Drosophila melanogaster: one gene and its partners. The protein of the gene in region 1 interacts with the protein of each later gene in a biochemical or structural test. Each region holds a gene or a part of one and is shown in the gene's direction. Other genes may lie near its edges. The genes, in order: CkIIalpha, Dek, cact and hry.

Region 1 (7,798 bases):
AAAAATAAAACAAATAAATAAAATATATGCTAACATCACAGCACAAAACAGAAACTTGGTAAGATAATATAAACTTCTATAAACATGAAACATATTAGATTTCCAAAGATCATTTACCGCTCACTAACCTCTTCCAACGAAGCACACGAGAAAAGGAAGACACGAACACCGGAAGCACAAAAGGTTTCGTCGCAAACCGATAATCATGTACTTGAGATAAGTGTTTTCCTTTGTTTTGAAACAATTTGAAATCAAAACTGAATTGCTTTATATGTTGTTCTCACTAAAATCTACATACTGTAAAATATGTATGTGTTCGTGTTCTTCGATACATTTTTATTGGAATAAAAAATATTTTTGGCGATTAAACGTCAAAGCTAAAAAACTACAACTAAATAAGTAAATTAGAATCTTACCTCAACCATAAGCACACCTTATGTTTTTCAACCCAGATTTGTGCTTATCATAACTAAGTCATTGGTATTCGGGCAGATAAATATAACAGTAACATTTACAAAAATTCACATTATATATATTACACTTCATGGTTTTGTATTTTAGCCATTTTCAGCAGTCATTTCGAACGGACCGCTAAGAGTTGTTACTATCCTAGAATAAAGTTACAAAGATTTATATGTTATAAGCAGCAGAAACATTGAGCTTACAATTGTATTGCTTCATTTATTATAGACCCAAACTCAGATAATCCGAATCAGACTAGGTGGCCAATCTCGTTTTGGATATCCAAAGTAGGAATGAGAGTATTTTCTGAGGCACACCAGATATTTTACGTAGTAACATAATCGGCAAAAGGCTGGAATGGTCTAGTCTTTTAACTGAACATTTCGAAGGCAGCTTACAGAATTGGATATCAAAGATTTTTTATTAATTTTTCTGTAATTTACAGACAGACAGAAAACAGACAGTAATAGTAGTCTCTTCCAATTGGCCTATCGACTAATTCACTTTGTGAATTTGAAATCAGGTCTATTGTTCTTATAAAAACCAAATGGCGCTGGATGTCAGATTGCATTTCAAATGTTTAAATAATGCTCTGCTTTCATTGTGATCAATATGAATGCCAAATCTCGAACTCCTCGACTAGATGCATACCCAAATCATAACCGACATTTTGCTAAACTTGACGGTTGCGGTTCTCCAGCGCAGTTAGCGCCTTACGCCACATTCTGTTGGGTCCATCGTCGTATAACACATCATCTTGGTTTCGTCGCAGAAAATTACGTTATTCCAGTAATCTTCTGGCTGATGTTGCATTTCGATAGCGAAAGTAAGCCGCTTTTCGATGTTAATTGTCGGCAGCATCGGTTTTTTTCTTGCTACCCGTGAGTGGTACTTATGACGGAGTATGGCTTGGCGCACTGTTTCGTGTCACACATCCAGATCGCAGCCCTCCTTAAGCTAATTAGCAACAGTTCTTAAAGATATTTGCGGATTTTCATAAATTTTTCGCATAGTAACTCGGTTTGAACGGTTGGAAATTTTATTTTTACGTCCTGTTCCACATTTTGATTCCAATCTGCCCTCGTTTTTGTGCGATTAATTACGTTATAAATTGTTCCCCGCGATGCAGAAAACATTTCTGACAATTCCGTGACAGATTTTCCCAAATGGTGATTATAAACTCAATCTTCTGCCAGGCATTTCTAAATTTCTCAAAACTAACTGGAGCAAAGATCACTTCACTTTCTCAACCAAATGCAACGAGTATAAAGAAATATGTAAATGACGATTCTGTACCGTTTAGTTATCGAAATTTCTCGGAATAGGAGCAAAATTGAAAACAAAAGAATTCCTTGACAGTGTCAAATCTATGCAAACTTGGTTTCAGTTGTTTTTCTTGTTCATTGTCAATAGTTTTGTTATTTTTTTTTCACATATTGATAAAAAACATATAAATAAATAGTTATCAATAAAAATAAATTCATGCCTTTTAATAAAAGGCCTTTATATTTTTGCATTGAAAGTCAAATATACAATTTATTTTCATTGTGCAAACAATTTCTTGACAAACTGTATGTACATTTTCTTTCACTGAAGTAATATTTTTGATCGCCATAGTAAAAAGGACACGAAGAATTTAAACTAACCGTACTCACAATAAGAAAATGACGAAAACAATAGAAGCAGACAGAGAAGGGCGAAAAGGTGTGGTTTATTTATTACGTTTCTGTCCAGTTGCATTTCCAATTCTTAATCGTCAAGATCGTAATTTTTTGTTGTTGTTATGCAGAAAAAGAAGCACTTAGTAATACTTATTTCCTTTGATACCTTCCGTACTTCCGACTGGGATTTTCAAGCTTACCGTTATCTGAACAGAAGAACAACGGAAAAACTATCTTGGTATAATCTGCAAAGTAAAACAAAATGCAGAACAAAATAAGTTTAAAATTACTGCAGATCAGTCAAAGTTCAGCAACGATGGCACGTGGTAAGCATATTTGCACCGAAATCAGAGTATTGATATATATAATATAATATAATATAATATAATAATTCTATAATATATATAGAATATATATACAGTTTGTCAAAAAACTGTTTACACACTGTGAACTCTTTACACAAAACACATTTAGTGTTTTGTTTAATTTATTTAGTTTAATCCTAAATTTTTAAATTATTTTATTAAAATTTTAAAAGTTTTGGTATGTAGTATGTTCCCCATTGGCTTTAGCTACAAGTTGAAGCCTTTTTTTCATGGATTGGACAAGTTTTTGCAGGTCATATTCAAACGGGATCTTTTCACAATCTTCGACTATTACAGTCATACGCTGTTGTTGTGTTTTAGGTCCCTTTTTGCCACCTTCTTCGTTAAGTAGGTCCACAAATTTTCAATGGGGTTCAGATCAGGACTCTGAGGGGGCGTATCGATCACTTTACCACAGTTATAAGGGCGCCAGGTGCGTACATTGCACTCTTTATGTTTCTGATCATGTCCTCTTAAAATATAAAATTTGGCTTGTTGTTGCTAACTAGACCAAATTTTTCTGCACTGGCCTTCAAATTTGTTTTTTAAAATTCCTAGATATTGCACGGCATTTATTGTGCTCTCAATTAAGGCTAGTTTTCCCACTCCACGGCTGGTGATACAGCCCCAAACCATTAGTGACATTTTTCCAAATTTTATCGTTAGAATGGTATTTTGTTTTTCTAGCGCACTCAACGGTTTGCGCCATACTCTGCTTGGCCCGTCGTTATAAAAGAGCATCATATTTGTTTCGTCACAAAATATGACGTCATCCCAGTACTCTTCCGCATGATCCATCATGCTCACAGCGAATGATCGACGCTTTTCAATATTGGCATCTGATAGCAAAGGGTTTTTCCTTGCAACTCTTGAAGAGTACCTATGGCGTAGGATGACTTGGCGCACAGTTTCGTGTGACACAGTTAGGTGACATTCTTGCCTGATATCCAGAGCAAGTGCTCTGACCGAGATTCGGGGGTTCGCAATCACTATTCGCATAATAAAGCGGTCTACACGCTTTTTAATATTAATTTTCCGCCCACCACCACTCTTAGGTTCAAGCCTGCCCTCTTTTTCCGAGCCTTTTAAAACATTGTAGACGGTCTTACGGGATACAGGAAACATTTATACTAATTCTGGAAAAGATTTTCCCAACTGGTGGTTATAGTTTATTAATTGGGTAACTTCAAAAGTTAATCTCTTTCCAGGCATTTTATTAAATTTAATAATTCGCTTTAAGCACGTTTGATCAGCAAAATTTAACAAGCAAAGTCAACAAATTTCAATAGAAGCGTTGTAAAAAGCAATGCAAAGCCAAAAATAACGGAAAAATCGAGTTCGTTCTAAGAAAAAGAACAAAACAAAGTAGGAAAACAAAATGTGTAAAGAGTTTCTTGACAGTCTCAAAAGTGTGTAAACTTGGAATTTGTTGTTTATTTTCTTGTATATTTAATATTTTTAATTTGTTTTTTGATTTATAAGTAAAATAAATATTGTTTAATTATATTTTATAAAAAAAAATGCGTTTAATTAAGAAAAAAAACCCTTAATTTTTAGCTTTAAAGTCAAAAATTCAACTTATTTTACAGTGTGTAAACAGTTTCTTGACAAACTGTATATATTCTATAATTCTAACCACAGATTTCAATAATCGTATGTTATTGTTTTTATAAACAAATGTAATCTATCAGTGTTTCCCCGACAGAAATAAAATAATAATAGACCCTAAATAAATTCCTAACTAATTTTATAAAATAGCTGGATCAGTTTCACTTCCATCGTTTCTGACATAAGGATGATTTTTTGATCTATCTTGACTACCTACTGTTTTGTTATGCAGTAAAATAGACGGCGGTTAAGCTAACCTTCTTAAAATATGAAAAATTTTCTCCGTAACCACGTACACTGGTTTTTTTTTTACTAAGACGTGAGTATTATTACTCTTGTCATTAAATGGCATTAAATTAACATGTATATGCGGATTTTGCGTTACAGCGTATTTTCTCAAGAGCATGAAATCAGTGAAATATATCAATAATTGTATATATGTTGTGGAAAGTCTTTGAAATTTTTTATGCATGTACATAAATAGGTACATATGGGGCCATTCTGAATCATGCCGTCATGAAGCCGGTGAACTCGTCTAAAGTTTTTTCTGAATTTTAGAGTGGTTGTCATTATGATATTCGTGTGTATTTTTAACATTGGCGTATGTACTCGTTTTTACTAATAATTTGTTCAGTAGCGAATGTATTCATTGAAATATAACATTGCATACACATGGATTTATGTATGCACATATATTTTATATACACTTTTGTATATACCAAGGGTTTATTTATGTAAATGATTTCGCATAATATATGTATTAATAAATATCTAAGTATTTATATAAAAGCAAATTTAAAATTTATTTTCATTAGTATACCTGCTTATTATATAAATTAGTGCAAAACTGTGAGGAACATACCCGGCATACACTGTGGATATCATACGAGACGGAGAAATCTTTTAAAATACTTTGGCAAGCCAGCTTATAACAATCAATCTTCAAAAATTGGGTACGTTTTTATCCATATTTATACTTAGGCACGTGCATTGATTGAATTCCACTGAATTCCAACAGTATTTGCGTGGAAAATATGTATGTCTGCAAGAACCGCCTTTTTGCAAGCGCGGCGCAAACCATCGATTAAACTCTTTTGGTTGCTCTATAACTTAATAAATTCATGCTGAAAAATATTAATTAAGTGCACACGATTAAGAAACCCACATGTTTGTACTTCTTACATTATTTGTTTTGCAGCTTTTTAATATAATACATTCTTCCTAAATTATTTTAATTAAAACATTTATAATAATCGTAAGACAGACTTTTAGCTGATTATAGAATTAGGGTAAAAGTCTTTCAAACAAAAACACCACGTATCGAGGTAAAGAGCCATCAACGCTCGCAACTGCAACATACAAGGTGTTTAATTTCAACTTTTGTCAAGAATAATAAATTACTTTCCAATAAATTATTATTATTCTTTAATTGACTTATGGGCACGATATATCAAAATAATAATTGCCATAATAGCCCTAGAGTCTTGCCAAATAAGTGAATTTTGTAGTCAAATGTAAAATACGTTTTCGTGCCAAAGTTTAAAATCAGGAACATATGAAAAATCGTTCGTAATACGATCGTAAAAAATTTTTTTTAACTCGATGTATTTTAGTTTGATATTATCAATTGCAAAAGGACACTTAATTCCTCTGCAGTCGGGACTTTAAAACAAGACAACAAGTGAAAAAAGGTAGTACAATTTTTGGTGATCATCTAAAGTTATAATATTTATCGAAATAGCTTTTCCACTAAACACAACTTAAGTCTTCATGAATCCGAAAGTGGGTGTTTTTGTTGCTAAAAAACCTTCAAACATTTATTTATTTGACTCGTGTTACACTTTGATTACAATCACCGTTGTGTGATTCTTCTCAACTCGGTGAATGCGTGAACGATATCTGCATATATTCGGAATTTTAACAACTCATAAAACCTTGTTCATCTTAACGTTCTAGCATCCATAGTTACCGAGAACTAGGCGTTCTTAAGTACGTAGGAATAAGGAATAATCCTGATCGAAAATATCAGGGGTTCCACAAAAACTATAGGTGAAGTTGGACAGGTTTTGGAATGGATTAAAAAATTATAAACCGTGACACAGAACTCCGAGTGTTATTTATTTTTTTGCACTTCACGCTAACGGTTGTATCCATTTGAAAAATAAAGACGACTCGGTTTTGCTAGGCTACTTTTTGAGACAAATTTATAAATATTAGTAATATATTGATTATTTTTCTTCTTGCTTCTTTGGTACGCATCTGATCCAGCATATCATATATATATCATTTATCTAAATTATTAATTTAAACAAAGTTTTAGATACAATTATCGCGTTTGAAGGTGGAAAGTCTCATTATCTTTAGATCAACATTTCGAGCGAAAGAACTTTGTTTTGTTTTCGTTTGGAGAGTTGCAGAGCTGCTAGATGACGGAAGTACAATAACCTACAAATGATTTTGCAAATGAAATTGCATATGCAGAAAGAAATTTGTAACATTTGTAAAACTTCATTTACCTCGAATAATGTTAGTGGTTACAGTTGATTTTGTTTATTATTACTCAATTTTCTTTCTATGTTAAGACGATTAAAATTTGGCATTTTGCGTTACTGATATAACGATATTTAAGCTGTTTCGGAAATGTGTTATGCTATGAAGAGGTGTAGACATGTGTTTCCGATTGCTTCTGATTAAATACGTTTTCGTTTTACTTTCAGATTGTTGTACAATAATAATATTGTTAGGACCACCAACCGACTGAGAACGGAATCAGCTCACATAAACTTACTGCTACAACCCGAAAAAAATTTTAACAAGGAGGCAGAAAGGAACGTTTTGTTGAGAAAAATGACACTTCCTAGTGCGGCTCGCGTGTACACAGATGTCAATGCGCACAAACCGGATGAATATTGGGACTATGAAAATTATGTGGTTGATTGGGGCAATCAAGACGATTATCAGTTGGTCCGTAAATTAGGCCGTGGAAAGTATTCTGAGGTCTTCGAGGCCATTAATATTACGACCACGGAAAAGTGCGTTGTTAAAATTCTGAAACCTGTTAAAAAAAAGAAGATAAAGCGTGAAATCAAAATTTTGGAGAACTTGCGTGGAGGAACTAATATAATAACACTTTTAGCCGTTGTCAAGGACCCAGTTTCTCGAACACCAGCGTTGATTTTTGAGCACGTCAACAACACAGATTTCAAGCAACTTTACCAAACATTAACTGATTATGAGATTCGTTACTACTTGTTTGAGCTTCTTAAGGCACTTGACTACTGCCACAGCATGGGAATAATGCATCGTGATGTAAAGCCCCACAATGTTATGATAGATCACGAAAATCGAAAATTGCGCCTTATAGATTGGGGACTTGCCGAATTTTACCATCCTGGTCAAGAATATAATGTTCGTGTGGCTTCGAGATACTTTAAAGGTCCCGAATTACTGGTAGATTACCAGATGTATGATTACTCACTGGATATGTGGTCACTAGGTTGTATGTTGGCGTCGATGATATTCCGAAAAGAGCCATTTTTCCACGGACATGATAACTATGATCAATTGGTACGCATTGCCAAGGTGCTGGGCACCGAAGAACTCTACGCATATTTGGATAAATACAATATTGACCTCGATCCAAGATTTCACGACATTCTACAGCGTCACTCACGAAAGCGATGGGAAAGATTTGTCCATTCT
Region 2 (5,677 bases), on another chromosome or scaffold:
AGCGCACGGCGATGAGGAACTGGTACAGGCACATACTAGCATCGATTGCTACCTTGCGACCTTTGAAATGTGAGCATACTATTAAAGTTTTGTTTATATTTAGCAAATAGAACCGGACTCACCGAAAAAATGCTTCATCTCACTTTCGCGAATCGCCTGTGGCGCCAGATCGGCAATGAGCTTAGATAAGCCCAAAATTCCCATGGCGATTTTATTTTAACTTAACACTTGTAATTAATTAAATATATGATTATATTAAGTATAGCCAGGGGTTTATCAAATTGTTTTGTTTGTGAAAACACGCCGCGCGCTTTTTTGCCAACAAGAGTGACCGCCTTTTCAATACATAAATACCAGAACGTCAAAAAATTTTTTATTCGCTAAATTGTTAGTTTTTACATATTTATTTCATTTTCTTTCGAATATTTTTATGAACGTATATAAATATTAACATTTAGATCAGCGTGACTGATGAATTAAAATATGACTACCGGTCTGCAAAATATTCCAAAATTAGATGGTTTTGGTTAACAAATCATTTAAAAAGCAAGTGTCTCCTTCAAATATGTTTTTTATGCATATATATATATAATTTAGTCCGATTCATTAAAAAGCAAAATATTTCAGAAATATATAGGACTGGTTAATACCAGTCATTTTGTTTAAAAAGAAAGTATTTCTTTCGACTATTATAATATACGTATATAAATATTTTTTTATTTAGATCAGTGTTACTAATACATTAGAATAATATTATCGTTAATCAAAATATACCAGAATTAAATAGTTTTCTTTTGAATATTTTTATTGGGGTATATAAATATTGTATTCAGATCAGACTAACATATGAATTATAATATAATTACAGGTAAGCAATGTGGTTAGCTTAGGATAATAGCGATAGAGTTGACTGGACACTATCAAGAAAGAATTTAAATGCATTTTAAAATAAAGAATCATAAAATGGTATTAACAACTGAACATGTATACCAACTTAATTCCCTTGTAAAAAGCCCGCCAAAAGTGAGCAACGAAAAGGGCACCCATTATTTTGCCGGGTATTTTTTAGTGCTTGTCGGCTGCAATACTATCGATTGTGACACCTCTTCTAGTGAGCAGATTGAATGTGTGTCGGCTGACGGAAAAACAGAAAAGCCATTAGAAATATGGTATGTAAAAAGGTGAAAAATGTGGGAAAAAGCGCCGGAAAGTGTGTGCCAGCGAGGTGAAATGAAAACGGCGGGATTGCTAACGTATTTTGTGTGTAAATAGAGCGCAACAAATTATCCGCGAGGCTAACTGCCCGACTATCGGTTCTCTCCCGCCGTTCGGTTGTGTGTATAAACATGGCGTCGTTGTGGCTCGAGATGCCGATGCGAGTGGGTGCGAGCGGGATGACTAGTGTGTGTGTGTGCGCCTCATAGATTTGCAATGTTGTTTTTTCTATCGCCTCTCTCATTTCTTGCTCCCTCTCTCACTCGCTTGCTCGCTCGGCGAAGAAGACACGCATACACAAACTCGCAATCGCCGAAGACCTAACTCACACTCAAATTGCGATTCGATTAAAAAAGAAATAGGCGCACCGAAACCCATCGTATTGGCCGCCAAAAAATTAGCAAGTGTAATCCAATTCTGACTTTGTATCTTTCCATGCCATCGCCGCACGAAAAGGATGCTAACAAAGCGGCAGAAACGGCAGCCAAAGAAAATGCCGCCGATAAGGTAAGCGATGTGGAAAATGCATCGGTTACTGCGGGGGTGGCGAAAGCCGTGGGGGCACAGCCGGAAAGGGGCTCCAAAGATGCAGCCGAATCCCCCGCCGCTGTCGACGCCTCTGCCTCTGCCGCCACTGATGACGTCGCTGATAAAAAAGCCAAAGGAGACTCAACGGCTGTTTCAAATACCGAATCGGATGCAGGTAAATAAAAAATTAAAAGGCAAAGCCAGGCGAACACACAATCTAACTAACTGTGTGTGTGAAGAACGAGAGAGAAAAACAAAAATCAAAGTGAATTTACCGCGCATTTTAAAAAACGCGCCGAACTATTTCGCTCTCTCTTCGGGAAAGTTCTTTTCCTCTCTCGTCCTCTTGTTCGCTTTGGTCTACTTATTGGGAGAGTTCCGATGTGGCGCTGCGGTCTAAAGCGTCGCTCCTTGTGTCTCTCTTGTTTACCGCGCTATGCTGATGTTGGCATGTGGTTCGATCCCCCTCCGTGTCGATGTTTACAAAACCATTATTAGAGTTTGATGATTGAGTTCTCTTAACTTTCCTTCCTCCTTCCTTCCTTGGCTTTTGTTCATGCTAAATCCTTTAAATGGGTTCTGCGTAGTTTAATGCCGAGGTACAGCAAAACTTCAATATTCATGTTCCCTTGCGCTCCCAAACGAAATTAGCATTGGACGTCCCAAGGTTGAAGACATTTTATTATTTTAACATCTTTTTTATTTTATTACATTTGAACTCTTACAAATAATAATAATTACAATTAATATTATAGCTGCAGCGGACAAAAAGGAGAAATCCCCCTCGCCGGTAATAAAGAAGTCCAACAATAAGGATGCTAAAAAGGAGGACAACTCCGAAAAGGACGAGGAGAACTCGGAAGACGGCGATGAGCCAGAAGATGAGGCTGATGAGAAAGCTAGCGATGAAGAGAGCGAGAAGAAGAAACCGAAATTAGATGCAGAGGACAAGATAAAGGATGCCACTGATGAGTCCAAGCCAAAATCGGGAGCCGATAAGCCCAAGAAACCTGAGCCCAAGGCCAAGAATGGCAAGGTGGCTAAGGAGGAGGACGACGACGAAGAGGACGAGGATGATGAGGATGCCGAAGATGACGATGGAGACGAGAACGATGGCCTGGACAAGAACAACGAGGTGGCCGAGGATGATGAGAATGTCGTCGCTCTCGCCGAGATTGATCGCATTAATGAGAATATCAACAAGACTCGTGTAGATGGTCTGCAAACATTGCATGCAGTAAGTTAGCTGAGAAACATTTTTGCCAACAACTTGTCAAAAACTAATTTCACACCTCATTTATAGATCTGCTTTGGCGCCCAAGGCAAGAACAATGTGGTCAAGAAGAACTTGCGATCCTTTGCCGGTTTCGAGTTTGCCAAGGATTCAGCGGAGTACAACAAAAAGCTGGAGGCCATCAAAAAGGTGGATAATAAGGGCCTGCGCAGCATCTGCGAGATCCTTACCCTCGATCGCAAGGGCAGCAAGAACGAGACTGTCCTTCGAGTGCTCAAATTCCTAATGGAACCGGACGAGTCGCTTTGCTTGGAGCAGGGTGATGAGGAGGAGGAGGAAGATGCCGAGGACGAGGATCTGGATGAAGATGAGGAGGACCCGCCCAGTGAAGAGGACAAGAAGCGCAAGAGCGGAAAGTCTAGCGGCGGCGCTGGCAGAGGCTCTGCACGCAATTCCACCGGACGTCCAAGGCGCGCGACGGCAGGAAAGAGTATGCTCATCTAAATCAAAAGTATTGTATATATCTAAACATGTTTACGTTTTAAATTTCAGAAATGTCCGCCTATGTAGATTTCTCCAGCTCTGACGATAGCGAGCAGAAAGTTGCAGTTCCCAAAAGGAGACGAAATGATGACTCCGAGTCGGGCTCAGATGTAAGTATCCTTCGCCCAGAAACCATGCGCACAATTTGGCTCATTTGTCGTTTTGCTTATAGTACAATCCTTCTGCCAATTCCGACTCTGACGGTGGTCGTGGTGGTGGTGCTGGTGCAGCAGGTCGCAAAGTCCCAAGCCGCGGTGGACGCGGTCGTCCTGCGCGCAAAAGTCGCAGAAGAAACTCTGATTCCGAGGAAGAAGAGGAATCGGAAGTTTCCGATGCCGATAGTGATGTATGTATTATAAACGTATGACCAAGTGACCTATATAAAAAAAAATAACTAAATCCCCAGGTCCCAAAACGTAAACGTGGTTCCGTGGGTAAACGTGGACGACCGGCAGCTCCTGCGTCAGCTGGACGAAGGGGTAGAGGACGAGGTGCAGCTTCCCGCAAGCGTAAAGATTCAGATAGCGAAGATGAGGAGGTATCCGAGGATGAAGAGGAGGAGGATGTCTCCGATTTTGCCAGCGATCAAAGCGAAGTATGTAAATTTAATTTAATATCGAGCATTTGGTGTTTTATCAAGTATATGCCAATTTTTCAGGAGGAACGTCCCAAAAAGAGCAAGAAGCCCATTACGCCTGCGAAAAATAGCAAAGCTAACAACAAGTCAAAACCAGCTGGAAAGGGTATGTTAAAAGTAATATGAAAACCGTATGAAATAACAATTAATGTAATCCGCAGCCGATAGTCGATCGAAAAAATCAAAGAAGGAATCGTCCGAGGAAGATGATGATGTCGATGACAAAGATGAATCCGACGAGGATGAGCCACTAACCAAAAAGGGCAAACAGGCATTCCCAACGGTTGGTAGCCAGTAATCGCAATCGTAATGTGTTATCCTCATCGAACGTCTATTTGCAGGATGAACAAATACGCGGATATGTCAAAGAGATTCTGGATAAAGCCAATCTTGAGGAGATTACGATGAAAACCGTGTGCAAACAAGTTTATGCAAAATATCCAGACTTTGACCTAACAGACAAGAAAGACTTCATCAAGGCGACAGTGAAAGCGGTAAGTTACAAGCATATTTATAATTTCTGTTTTACTGAAACTCAATTTATTTCCCAATTCTTAGTTAATTGCGACATAAAACGACGCGTTGACAAGTCCACTTTAAAGTCGAAGAAGGGTCCAGGCTCTGTACACATACAACACAAAACAGGCGATAGCAAAGTCAGGACGTTGTACGCCGATGCAGAAAGAAGTTGGGCATGGTTCGCGAAATGTAACTCCAAGTAGTTGTCTCCTATAAGTATATGATTTGTACTCCTATCCTAAAAGCTATCTGCAGTTCACCTTAATCCTAACGTCAGCGGCAGTCGACTATCCATTCTTATATATATTCATCTGTATATATAACTTTTTATTTGTCCAACCGTGCGCACGCATGCACATCATTTTCTATTTTCCTGAAAGTATGTGCAAACGACAGCTCTGCGAAGTGTGTAAATTAAGCAAAGAGAAACTTGTAAAAATCCGATAAAAAAGAAACACCTAAACTGTAGTGCATTTTGATTTGACGTTTAACAAGAAAAGATGTATTTAACCTTAAGGCACAAGAAATAATAAACAAAAAGCAAAATTAAAAATTTGTAAAAGCGTGAAATATTGAAATTTCACACACTGGCAGCAGTACAAAAACAAACGAAAGTGGAAAACCATTTTAAATTTACACGATTACAAAAAGTTTTTGGCTAATGTAATAAAAGAATGCATTATTTGGGCGAGTAATTTTAAGGCACACTTGAGCGGAGCTCCTGATACAAATGTTTAACTGCTGTTCCCAAAATATATCCTTGAAACCCATTTTGATTTTGATGTCTCTATCGCATCCCAACTCCTGCTGTTCACCACAAATGCTCGGGCCCAGTGTGATTGAAGATAGGAAGGTTTCTCGGCTTATTAACTAGAGACAAGCTCACAACAAATTGTGAGTAAAAAATAAACAAACAGAAGATTGAATGTGGAATGAGGAAGGGAATAAAGTTAAATATTATAAATATTAGATATTTACAAGGTAATAATAGATGTATGTTA
Region 3 (4,727 bases), on another chromosome or scaffold:
TCTTCATTTAAAGATTTGGCCAATATAGGGCAAAACTCATGGAGAAAACCCCTTTCTGAATTACTATGATTGCAGAGAAGAACGGTGGTATTGTTGTGAGTAAACTCCAGAACTTCGTGATGGGACATTTCGCCGGTAATGATAAGATCCGCTTGGATACCCTTCAGCAGAGATGCTCCAGAGCCGGCACAAATGCCGACGGATTGGATGAGTGTCTTGGGGGTGTGGCCCACAGCTAGAGCAACGTGCACGCTGTTTCTAATGCGCTTTTGCAGAGACTCCACCACCTGGGAAAGCTCCATTTTGGTTTCTATATATCTACCGGATCCGGTACCCGGAGGAGCACCCAACTCCGGTTCCAGAGGGCGGATGCTGATGATATTCACTGCCTTAGATAGCCAGTCGTTGACGCCACCACTCTTCTTATCCCACGCCGTGTGGGGCGAGTACAAGGCTATATCGTTGGCCAAGCATGCTGCCACCACGCGCTCCTTCCAATGTGACTGCGTAATCCTGGTCAGGGGCTTGAAAATTGGCGGATGATAGCTGATTATGAGCTCCGCCTCCTTCTCTAGCGCTTCTTTCACTACGGGCTCGGTTAAATCGTTAGTTAATAGTATTTTCTTGATTTGTTTTTCGCGGTGCGGTTCGATCAGGAGTCCCACATTGTCCCACTTCTCTGCCCAAGAAGTCGGAGCAAAGTTCTCCAGCTCCTTGACCACAGCCGCCAGCTTTTGACCACTAAAAGTGTTCATCCTTCTCAGCATTCCTTGACGTCCTTTGCAAAATATTTCTGGTCCTGCGTTTAAGATTTTGTGCAATTGACTTATTGGCCGGTAAGTGCTGCCAACTTAATTTTTGTTGTTTTACCTGCTCTTAAAATCATCTGTTATCACCCGCAATTTTTAAATTGGGCGATAAAGTAATTGGTTAATATTAATAAACATTAAAAAACACTACTATAATTTTATTAGCAGGTCACATTTTTGTTGCGTAATTTTGTTAGAAAAACATTTAATGAATATTTGGATTTTATAATAACGAGAATAGCAAAACAGTTTTAATAAAACGATAAAAGTTTATGTTATAGCAAACAAATAATTAGAAATTAACAAAATATTTAAAAAGTTTATATACCTTAATAAATTTATCAGATTGGCACCAAACACTTGTTTTTAATAGAAAAACGAACGCCTGATAAATAATAATTCAAGAAATTCAATCGGAAGCCGAAGAATTTAAATTTTAAAGAATAATTTAATTAAGTCATACAAAAGCAAAAAGCAAAACCCGACAAGGAAATGACCAAACCCCTAAAACTGAAGAGTAATTTACAAATTCCCAGCAATTTAATCAAAATTTTAGGAAACAAGTCCGATTTTTTAATAACCTATTTGTTATAATAAATAACTTTACAACTACGAGAGGCGGAATTTTAAATTTTAAATTAAAAAAGCGAGCAAAAACTTTCGAAACTACTTGTGACCGTAAACACAGGTTTTATGGTAAGAATCTGATAATCTTGTAAAGCCCCTCTAAATTTCTTGGATTCAGATAATTTTTTAATCAATACAACCTTGTAAAAACCAAAATAATCGTATATATAATATTTCATGAATTGGCGATAAAATGTGATTGAGTGTTAAAAAATCCCAGAAGGAGAGTGTATGACAAATCGGTCGCTCAGAATATCCCATGAAATTCAGAATTGGTCGAGGTTTCAATCGAAGCTGACCTGTGAAAAACCGAAGAAAGAATCCTGCATTTCATTTCCGTTCTCGGTCAGCGGGTGATTTCCCAGATATTTGTCCGCCTCGCCGTCATACGCATTTCAACCGTAGGACGCCGAGCATCAACATCAAGTGGCTTCGCTCGAGGAACTAAACAATCACACAATCAGAGAGTAAGAAGTATAAATAAACGCATCGCTGCTGTGGTTGCTTTTGTTGCAGCTGACCATTTAGCTGCTCATTTTGTTGTTGGGAGATTTTAACTTGGCGCTCTCCCTACTATCTGGCAACCCTATGGTCTCCCTCGCACACATGTAAAACTGATTTAAGCCCCGATTACACACTCCATCGTCGATATATTAAGGCAAACGTTTTCACTTCGGTCTTTTCAAGTCTAGAATTTTATTTTTTTTGGGCAAATATGAAAAAATAGATTTTTTTCAATTAACAGTTTTCTAAGTAAAGAAAATTTAAAATCGAGACTCTTCATTTCGTGATAACTCTTAGTGCAAACGGGGCTTTATAGTATAGACTGCCATATAAATATATACATATCAGCGCGCTCCCTCAATTTCATTCGCTATCGAAACGTGAAAGAAAGCAGACGTGCGTCCGGGTACTATGCGAATTGCAGATTACAAACATTTAAACCATAAATACGCGTTTTAAAGACAGCTTCGCAAGACAATTAACCAGCAAGGTAGTGAGAAATCCATAGAAAATAGTGCTGGGGTTTAAACCCAGAACATGTGCAGAAAATAAAAAGCGAAAAGGAAGCTGTGTGAAAAGGGAGATAAAAAATCTACCTCAGTGTGATTGTGGGTGTGTGCGGGTGAAACAACCGTGAAGAGGCAAATAAGACATTGGCAAATGGAAAAATCTAAAATTTTCAACCAGTGTGAAACCGTAATTTTTATTTTTCTGCGGCTACACTTGTACATAAGTCCATAAATTGCCTTTAATCTACAAAAATTATTGCGTTTTCACTTGTTCGCTGGAGCCTATATGTTTGTTTCACTCGCACCACCGAGGTGAGCGCTTACTGTGCGTGTGTATGTGTGTGTGTTTGAGAGACTGGGCTCAAAAGCAAAGTTCAAAACGACAGGAGTATATATATAACATATATACATATATTTTAGCCCAACTGAGAGAGGAAAAGCACGAAAATGCCGAGCCCAACAAAAGCAGCGGAGGCAGCAACAAAGGCAACAGCAACAAGTGACTGCAGCTGCAGCGCTGCCAGTGTTGAGCAGCGCGCCCCCTCAAACGCGGCTAACCCCTCGTCCTCACTAGCCACTAGCGGTAAAATTGGCGGCAAAACACAAGATCAAACGGCCGCCATTAACAAGCAAAAGGAATTTGCCGTGCCAAACGAAACCAGTGATTCGGGCTTCATCTCCGGCCCGCAATCCTCGCAGATCTTCAGCGAGGAGATAGTCCCCGATAGCGAGGAACAGGATAAGGATCAGCAGGAGTCGGCACCCCAAAAGGAACAGCCCGTTGTCCTCGATTCCGGTATTATCGACGAAGAAGAGGATCAGGAGGAGCAGGAGAAAGAGGAGGAGCACCAGGACACCACCACTGCCACCGCCGATTCAATGCGACTCAAACACAGCGCGGACACAGGCATCCCACAATGGACCGTCGAAAGCCATTTGGTCAGTCGCGGCGAACAGCTTAACAATCTCGGCCAGAGCAGCAGCACCCAAATCACCGGTCGCAGCAAGGTTCAATCCTCCACAGCCAGCACGGCGAACGCGAATCCTTCGGGATCGGGAGCAACATCATCCGCTCCGCCCAGCAGCATTAATATCATGAACGCCTGGGAGCAGTTCTATCAACAAAACGACGACGGCGACACGTAAGTAAACATTATAGAATCTCAGGAAATGTCACTTTATTCTAGACTTTCAAATTATTTATATATGTGCAAACCACATTTATAGATAACTTCGAATGTGTATTTTTAATGTGGGGAAATTCCCAAGTATGATTTAAACATTTTAGCGCCTTATCTCTAGGTCACTTTAAAAACTTTCCCATGCTTATTCTTAGACTAGCAATCATAAGAACTTTATATTTTAAATATTTTATACAATTGGACGGTATTTTTTGAAATTGGAAACGATTGATTATATTTAGACTGTCACAATCGCCAAAAAAAAATCTTTATTAGAATTTAGGTCTTCATGCTCTTAAAAATCAATTTAACATACTCATTGACAATTCACGATTAAAGATTTATAAGCACAGTCTTTGAATCATTTCCGAATTTCTATGAACTTATACGTGCCGTATTTCCGATGAGAATCCTAAAATTTCCCAAAATAACAAAGACAACGCCGCGTTGCACTGATGACCACCAAGCGAGCTAAGGGGAGAGTTTCGTGAATCACTCAAAGACGATTGTCTGAGGCGAGAAACGCGACTGACACATGTGTTTTAGTCAGGCTTTGGGGTTTTCCTGGTATGTGGGCAGGTACGGGAACAGGTTTTTCGGGGCACCTCTTCTTTCTTCACATTACTTTACCTCTACTTAACTTACTTGGGTTTTTACGCCGCCACATGAACGGCGACAAGTGTACAGGAAGGAAAGAAAGTGCGGGTGTTCGATCGCCAGGTAAAAGAAACCCACAAATTCATGTTGTTTTTTTTGCTCTCTCTCTCTCATTTCAGACCTTTGCACCTGGCCTGTATTTCGGGATCAGTGGACGTGGTGGCCGCCCTGATTCGCATGGCTCCTCATCCGTGCCTGCTCAACATCCAGAACGATGTGGCCCAGACACCCCTTCATCTGGCCGCTCTTACTGCCCAGCCGAACATCATGAGGATACTTTTACTCGCCGGAGCTGAGGTAATATTCAACAAAGATCGAATAAGAAGATTTAGATATTTGCATATTTGTAAAATCTAGCTTAATCCCCTATTGACGAATGTAATGTCATATCATCTTGATTTTCTAACAAAAGCTAATTTAAGTATTTATATTTGTAACAA
Region 4 (5,830 bases), about 14 Mb from region 1:
TGGAACGCGAAGGTGTTGTCGACGTCCGCCACTACCGTCTATATATATATGTATCCATATTGTTGGGGCATGTGTTCTCGGCATAACAACCTTCTCTGGCGACCACAAAACGCACAACACTTTAGACAACCGTCAAAAATGTCAGAAATTCCCCAAACTTTTTGAGTATTTTCACGAATCGATAGATATGCATATTTGTAAGACGTGATTGTTGATTAAGTTCAATTTCATTTAATTATTAAGCAGAAATTAAGTGTAGTAAAATCAAATTAACTTCTAAACGTTTTTTTACTCATCTTCATTAGAGTCAACTTTATTAGTTTCTATAAAAACACTGCCAGGTGGTTTCGCTATAAAAAAAATATTGTAAACACCCGTTTTTAGCCAACTTGAATGTTTAAAGCCTGACTGACTCATTCCAATGTAACTTTGTTGACGATTCGTGGTTTTGGTATAACTTCACTAATCAGTGGTCAGAGTCCAAGTCAGGCTTTAAAAATATTTCCCAAGAACAAACGTCAAAGATAACGTAATTTCCTTTTATAGATCGTGTAACCTAAATATGTGTCATCTACCTTTACTGAGCTCAGCCTGGTTAAACTAATTACATGGTTATTACCATTTCTTAAAACTTAACCCATATTTTGTAAATAATAGATGGCTTAAGCAGTTATTTAAAATATCACTTTCGGTTGTAACGAAATGTGTGTGACGCACTTTGGCTTTTTACTACCAAATAAACAATATAATTTAAGCTTCATTTTCACTGTAATATTCCCAGTTTTCACTGCAATGCCCCTCTTCTCATTCTGCTAATGAATGGTTAGTTTTCTGATGCCCGACTATTCCGCGTGTCGCGTAATTATAGTCAACCTTCGATAAATCATTACTCCAAAACAAAACAACAAATAATATATGAAAAACGTGAAAATCCAACGCTGCACGTAGAAGCCATCAAGCTGAATCTAAGCGTCCGGCGGAGCACGTGTGATCCACGCAGCCTTGTCCACAGCGATTTCCATTTCATTTAGCCCGTTGGCGGCTATCGATCAAAAGCCAAAAGGGCGACCTTCACTTAATTGAGGCGTACGGCATGCTGAATGAGTCGGTTGTACAGACTGGTCTGGAAAATGCTAGGGGGATAACTATAGCCACCACCCACTGCCCGATCGCCCAACCACCCAACCACCCAACCACCCACTTCCGCCTAGCGTGCGCACAACCTTGTGATCTTGTTTACTGTTTAGCGACCCCCGAGCCGCAGATACACAGTACACAGCACAAAAAACCGAACCTGTCGCACTGGGGTGGCGTCATATAGCCAGCTATTTTCACCTTCTATGGGACGTCGTCGCGTTGGCCGCATGAATCAGCAAACCACGAACGGCGAGCCACCAGAAACCACCGCAGAAGCAGCAACAACACCAACACCACCGCGACCATCACCAACAGCACAGCCAGAAACACAGCCTCTTGTGAATCCCTCAGTTAGCAGAGCCCAGCAGAGTCAAGCCAAACCGATCGCTGATCGACCGACCGACCGACGATCACCAATGGGGGTTTCGCAGTGTGATTTCCAAAAAGGAAGAAATGCCCATTCCCGCGAGCCACGGGGGCGTATGAGTAACGCGGTGTGTACTTTAGGTACCGCTCACAAGCGTGAGCACGCACACACACACACACACACTGAAGCGAGCAGGTAGCGCATAATGTATACCCCTAGGTAGCCGCAATGCCAGTGCAATTGTATTGGTGCGGTCGTGTGGCTCGCGCTCGCGTCTCGCAGCGGCGATTTAGCCTACGAACCTGTCGATCAATCGTCAGTCTTCCGCCGAGAGCCCAGCGATAAGGTAGTCCCGCTACGCTCCGCAACATCCAGACGCAGTAAAGCAAATACTTATATATATATATACATACATATATATAGCGCAACCATCCGAAAGCCGAACGATCGATCTTCTGCTTCGTGCCGAGTCGTTTCGGTCTTTTAATCGCACTGCAGCCAGAACCTGCTGCTCATTCGCCTGCCGTATTTCGTAGCGTGCGGTTCTATCGCTCCGCTTTGATAAACCGAATCGAAATCTAGAGAACCCCCCCAGACACAATACCATTTTACGTGCTTCTCTGCGACGCTGCGCGAAAGTGAAACCACCAAGTGAACTTGAAAAAAAAAAAAACTGACAACTTGAGTTATTCTAAAAAAAGCAAAAAAGCAGTGAACTTATATTGCAAAGAGCAGCAAATTCAGATTTGCTGCCAAGTGAAAACCAAACTGTGCCTCAAACTCAACAAACAATATCTGACCGAAATGGTTACCGGCGTAACAGCAGCCAACATGACCAACGTTCTGGGCACCGCCGTTGTGCCGGCCCAGCTCAAGGAGACGCCGCTCAAAAGTGACCGTCGGGTAAGTTTCTTTCGAGAAAAATAAGACTCGAAAAAAAAAATCCAAAGCCAAAAACAAAAAACCCCGTCAATGGATTAAATCAGAACCTCTAGTTCCCCGAAATCTGTGGATTAACTGAAGCGAACCAAACCGAGAATTCCCCTAATTGAGAGCCACCCACTTCGAGCTCAAGTTGATTTCCATTCGCGACTGTGGGCGACTGGCCCCATCAATCCCGCTGCCCAAATGCATTTCCTTTTTAGCCATCTCCCACATGGCTGGCTGGGAATAAAAATACGAAAAAAGAAAAACACTCTGAGCCAGACCAAAAAAAGGCCGCAACTGCCGTCGGCGCGCCAACACAAAGCGAATTTATCTCGCGTCGCGTTGGTGGCATTTACTATATGGCATATGGCATACTACTCCGACTACACACACGCTCCATCCATTCATGAGTGCCGCCCAAAATTGGCTGGCGTAGCTGCCCACCAGCTCCCCAGATTCGGACTCGGATTCGGATTTGGCTGCCACTTGGCGCGTGCGTCGCGTGGTGGCTGCAATTGTCGGTCATCAGCCGCCGTTTTTGGCCATTCGAACGGCACCGGTTCAATGAGTTGGCCAGAAAAAAAAAAACTGACTTCATGCGAGTCCAAATTTGGCAACTTGTGCTCCCTAGATAATAATGTACCTAGTTATGGCATCTTCGAATTTCCCGCTCTGACCTTGTCACATTCTCTTTATTTTTGCTCATACCTGGTTGGTTTATTTATAGCCACTGCCTGTAATTTATAACCGCCAAACTATTTTTAAATAAATGCCTCGGCCGAGTGGCGCTATAAATAGAGCACGCGCCGTGCGACTAAATTTGGCCGCCAGCCAGTCAATCCGCTCCCCAACCTACGCCGCCTCCTCCTTGATCTCCTCCAATCCAATTGAAGACCCATGCAGCTTCCTCTATTTTTGGGTCGTTGCATGAGGTCAAATTAGCCGTGCAAAAGCCGTGACTAATCGATGTTTTTTTTTTCCATTTCTTGCCTCTTGCAGTCGAACAAGCCCATCATGGAGAAACGCCGACGTGCCCGTATTAACAACTGTCTCAATGAACTCAAGACTCTGATTCTGGATGCCACCAAAAAAGACGTAAGTATCTGACAAAAATATAAGTTTAAAGCCACAAATAAAATAAAAAAAACTACATATTTGAAATTATCTCAAATATTTTTTAAAAGTTTAAATCATTGACTAATTTCCAAATTATTTTCTCTCTCTACTTTTAGCCGGCTCGCCACTCCAAATTGGAAAAGGCCGACATTCTGGAGAAGACAGTAAAGCATCTGCAGGAGCTGCAGCGCCAGCAGGCAGCCATGCAGCAGGCCGCCGATCCCAAGATTGTGAACAAATTCAAGGCCGGATTCGCCGACTGTGTGAACGAGGTTAGCCGCTTTCCCGGCATCGAGCCCGCCCAGCGTCGTCGCCTGCTACAGCACCTGAGCAACTGCATCAATGGCGTTAAGACAGAGCTGCACCAGCAGCAGCGCCAGCAGCAACAGCAGTCCATCCACGCCCAGATGCTGCCCTCGCCGCCCAGCTCGCCGGAGCAGGATAGCCAGCAGGGAGCAGCGGCACCCTACCTCTTTGGTATCCAGCAGACGGCCAGCGGTTACTTTCTGCCCAATGGCATGCAGGTGATCCCCACCAAGCTGCCCAACGGTAGCATTGCCCTCGTGTTGCCCCAGAGCCTGCCCCAGCAGCAGCAGCAACAGTTGCTGCAGCACCAACAGCAGCAGCAGCAACTCGCCGTCGCAGCAGCAGCAGCGGCCGCAGCAGCAGCACAACAGCAACCCATGTTGGTCAGCATGCCCCAGCGTACAGCCAGCACCGGATCCGCCAGCTCGCACTCCTCCGCCGGATACGAGTCGGCGCCCGGAAGCAGCAGCAGCTGTAGCTACGCCCCGCCCAGTCCGGCCAACTCTAGCTACGAGCCCATGGACATCAAGCCATCGGTCATCCAGCGCGTGCCAATGGAGCAGCAGCCCCTGTCGCTGGTGATCAAGAAGCAGATCAAGGAGGAGGAGCAGCCCTGGCGGCCCTGGTAGAGGGTGTCTGCATATGCATATCATATAGCATAGCCACCCCTATCGAATCTCCCGCTTTTAAGACTGACCCCCCACAACTCATCCAACTCGCACACATGCGCAGGCGTTGTGCGCATGCGCGTAGACATTTCACATCATTCGCCGGGATTGCGCAAATGTTGCTTTGAAGTGTTGCAAACATGCGAATCCTAAACTCGGTTCACAACTTCGTTGGCTTAGTTTCCTGGCTTATATCCTGGAAACCCGTCGACGAGGCTAAGGACCTTCATCAGACGCACCCACACACAAACACACACACGCAAACGTTGTTATAATTTATTTATTATTATATTATGTAATCGATTTGAGAGAACGGTATTCTACCAGGACATCGCCAAACTACCTCAGTCCAAGTACTTGGTGTTGAATTGCCTCATGTATCATGTATTACTCTTTGAATAACAGCAAATCAGCAAAAGTCTTCCAAACACAGAAAATGAAAATGCGAAAATAAGCACCTGAAAAGCTGAAATACTTTTTATGAAAAAGATAAACGCAAAAGCATAACTCTTACACATAGTCGTACATCTCCATTTAAGTATAGGTTTTGTACCATAGCCAGCTAAGCCGCTTAGGGTTTCTCTCGCTCTTAAGTCTAATCAAAGAATAATTATATTTATAAAACACACAAATCTATTCGTAAGGCCACGTGATATAGTGAACATAATGAGCTTCTAAGAAAACAAAACAAGAATTTGATGCAAGCAAAAGCAAAAAAATCAACAAGAAAGAAAAAACAAACAAACAACACACTAAAAAGAAATAAATTTAAAAGATTCTACTAAAAAATCAAATACGCAAAACGGATTTGTTATTGTGGTTGGGGTATCTTTTCCTGGGTTTTTTTTTCATTCGGGTGAAAGTCCCATTATGGTTCTTTTTTTTGTTTTAGAGGTCAAACGCTTTGAGTGACAGGAAACTTATCGAGCCCCCCGACTTATCGTAGCAAATTTCGACGCTAATTATTATAATGCCAATGGTGAAATTCATTTTGCTGGAGAGGATCGGCGGGGATTTCGACGATAATACAACTACGTTTTAAGGGGCTCGATTATGTCCGTTTCTGCTAATATAATCGGCACGACGAGTTGAAGGTTTTTCTGTGGCCAGACCGTAACGGATATAGATATATGTGCATCATAAACATTATATAGGAATGCCTTGATTTTCACACATCCGTTCGATAGGCCAGTAATTCGAAACAGTTGTGACGAAATAAATACTTATTATAATCCTTTGATCGATAATATTTTAAAATATTTTGCAATTTAATCATTGGTTATTCCAATCGAAGTGATCAGCAAAAGTT

What was found.
Region 2: of the proteins of CkIIalpha (region 1) and Dek, one has a biochemical effect on the other in vitro, tested with the Drosophila melanogaster proteins (one study listed by BioGRID).
Region 3: of the proteins of CkIIalpha (region 1) and cact, one has a biochemical effect on the other in vitro, tested with the Drosophila melanogaster proteins (one study listed by BioGRID).
Region 4: of the proteins of CkIIalpha (region 1) and hry, one has a biochemical effect on the other in vitro, tested with the Drosophila melanogaster proteins (one study listed by BioGRID).

The regions. Positions count from the first base shown.
Region 1 is NT_037436.4:23,095,309-23,103,106, forward strand, and holds the start of CkIIalpha (casein kinase IIalpha), read left to right. Parts: upstream 1-1,763; 5' UTR 1,764-2,166; intron 2,167-2,251; 5' UTR 2,252-2,449; intron 2,450-4,331; exon of another isoform or gene 4,332-4,415; intron 4,416-4,907; exon of another isoform or gene 4,908-4,936; 5' UTR 4,937-5,049; intron 5,050-5,697; exon of another isoform or gene 5,698-5,787; intron 5,788-6,813; 5' UTR 6,814-6,943; coding exon 6,944-7,798. UniProt on the Drosophila melanogaster protein: Casein kinases are operationally defined by their preferential utilization of acidic proteins such as caseins as substrates. The alpha chain contains the catalytic site. May participate in Wnt signaling.
Region 2 is NT_033778.4:16,855,135-16,860,811, forward strand, and holds Dek (Dek), read left to right. Parts: upstream 1-1,507; 5' UTR 1,508-1,650; coding exon 1,651-1,918; intron 1,919-2,278; exon of another isoform or gene 2,279-2,444; intron 2,445-2,498; coding exon 2,499-2,980; intron 2,981-3,046; coding exon 3,047-3,467; intron 3,468-3,529; coding exon 3,530-3,630; intron 3,631-3,692; coding exon 3,693-3,866; intron 3,867-3,926; coding exon 3,927-4,115; intron 4,116-4,178; coding exon 4,179-4,263; intron 4,264-4,318; coding exon 4,319-4,440; coding exon of another isoform or gene 4,441-4,455; intron 4,456-4,498; coding exon 4,499-4,651; intron 4,652-4,715; coding exon 4,716-4,730; 3' UTR 4,731-5,136; downstream 5,137-5,677. Other genes in the region: Fen1 (flap endonuclease 1), read right to left, coding at 1-60, 123-204.
Region 3 is NT_033779.5:16,323,197-16,327,923, reverse strand, and holds the start of cact (cactus), read left to right. Parts: upstream 1-1,716; 5' UTR 1,717-1,903; intron 1,904-2,298; exon of another isoform or gene 2,299-2,430; intron 2,431-2,503; exon of another isoform or gene 2,504-2,869; 5' UTR 2,870-2,896; coding exon 2,897-3,591; intron 3,592-4,406; coding exon 4,407-4,584; intron 4,585-4,727. Other genes in the region: CG4278 (uncharacterized protein), read right to left, coding at 1-767. UniProt on the Drosophila melanogaster protein: Involved in the formation of the dorsoventral pattern. It inhibits nuclear translocation of the dorsal morphogen in the dorsal region of the embryo. Acts as a negative regulator of the NF-kappa-B (rel) signaling pathway.
Region 4 is NT_037436.4:8,673,942-8,679,771, forward strand, and holds hry (hairy), read left to right. Parts: upstream 1-1,817; 5' UTR 1,818-2,308; coding exon 2,309-2,407; intron 2,408-3,430; coding exon 3,431-3,526; intron 3,527-3,663; coding exon 3,664-4,482; 3' UTR 4,483-5,312; downstream 5,313-5,830. UniProt on the Drosophila melanogaster protein: Pair-rule protein that regulates embryonic segmentation and adult bristle patterning. Transcriptional repressor of genes that require a bHLH protein for their transcription (e.g. ftz).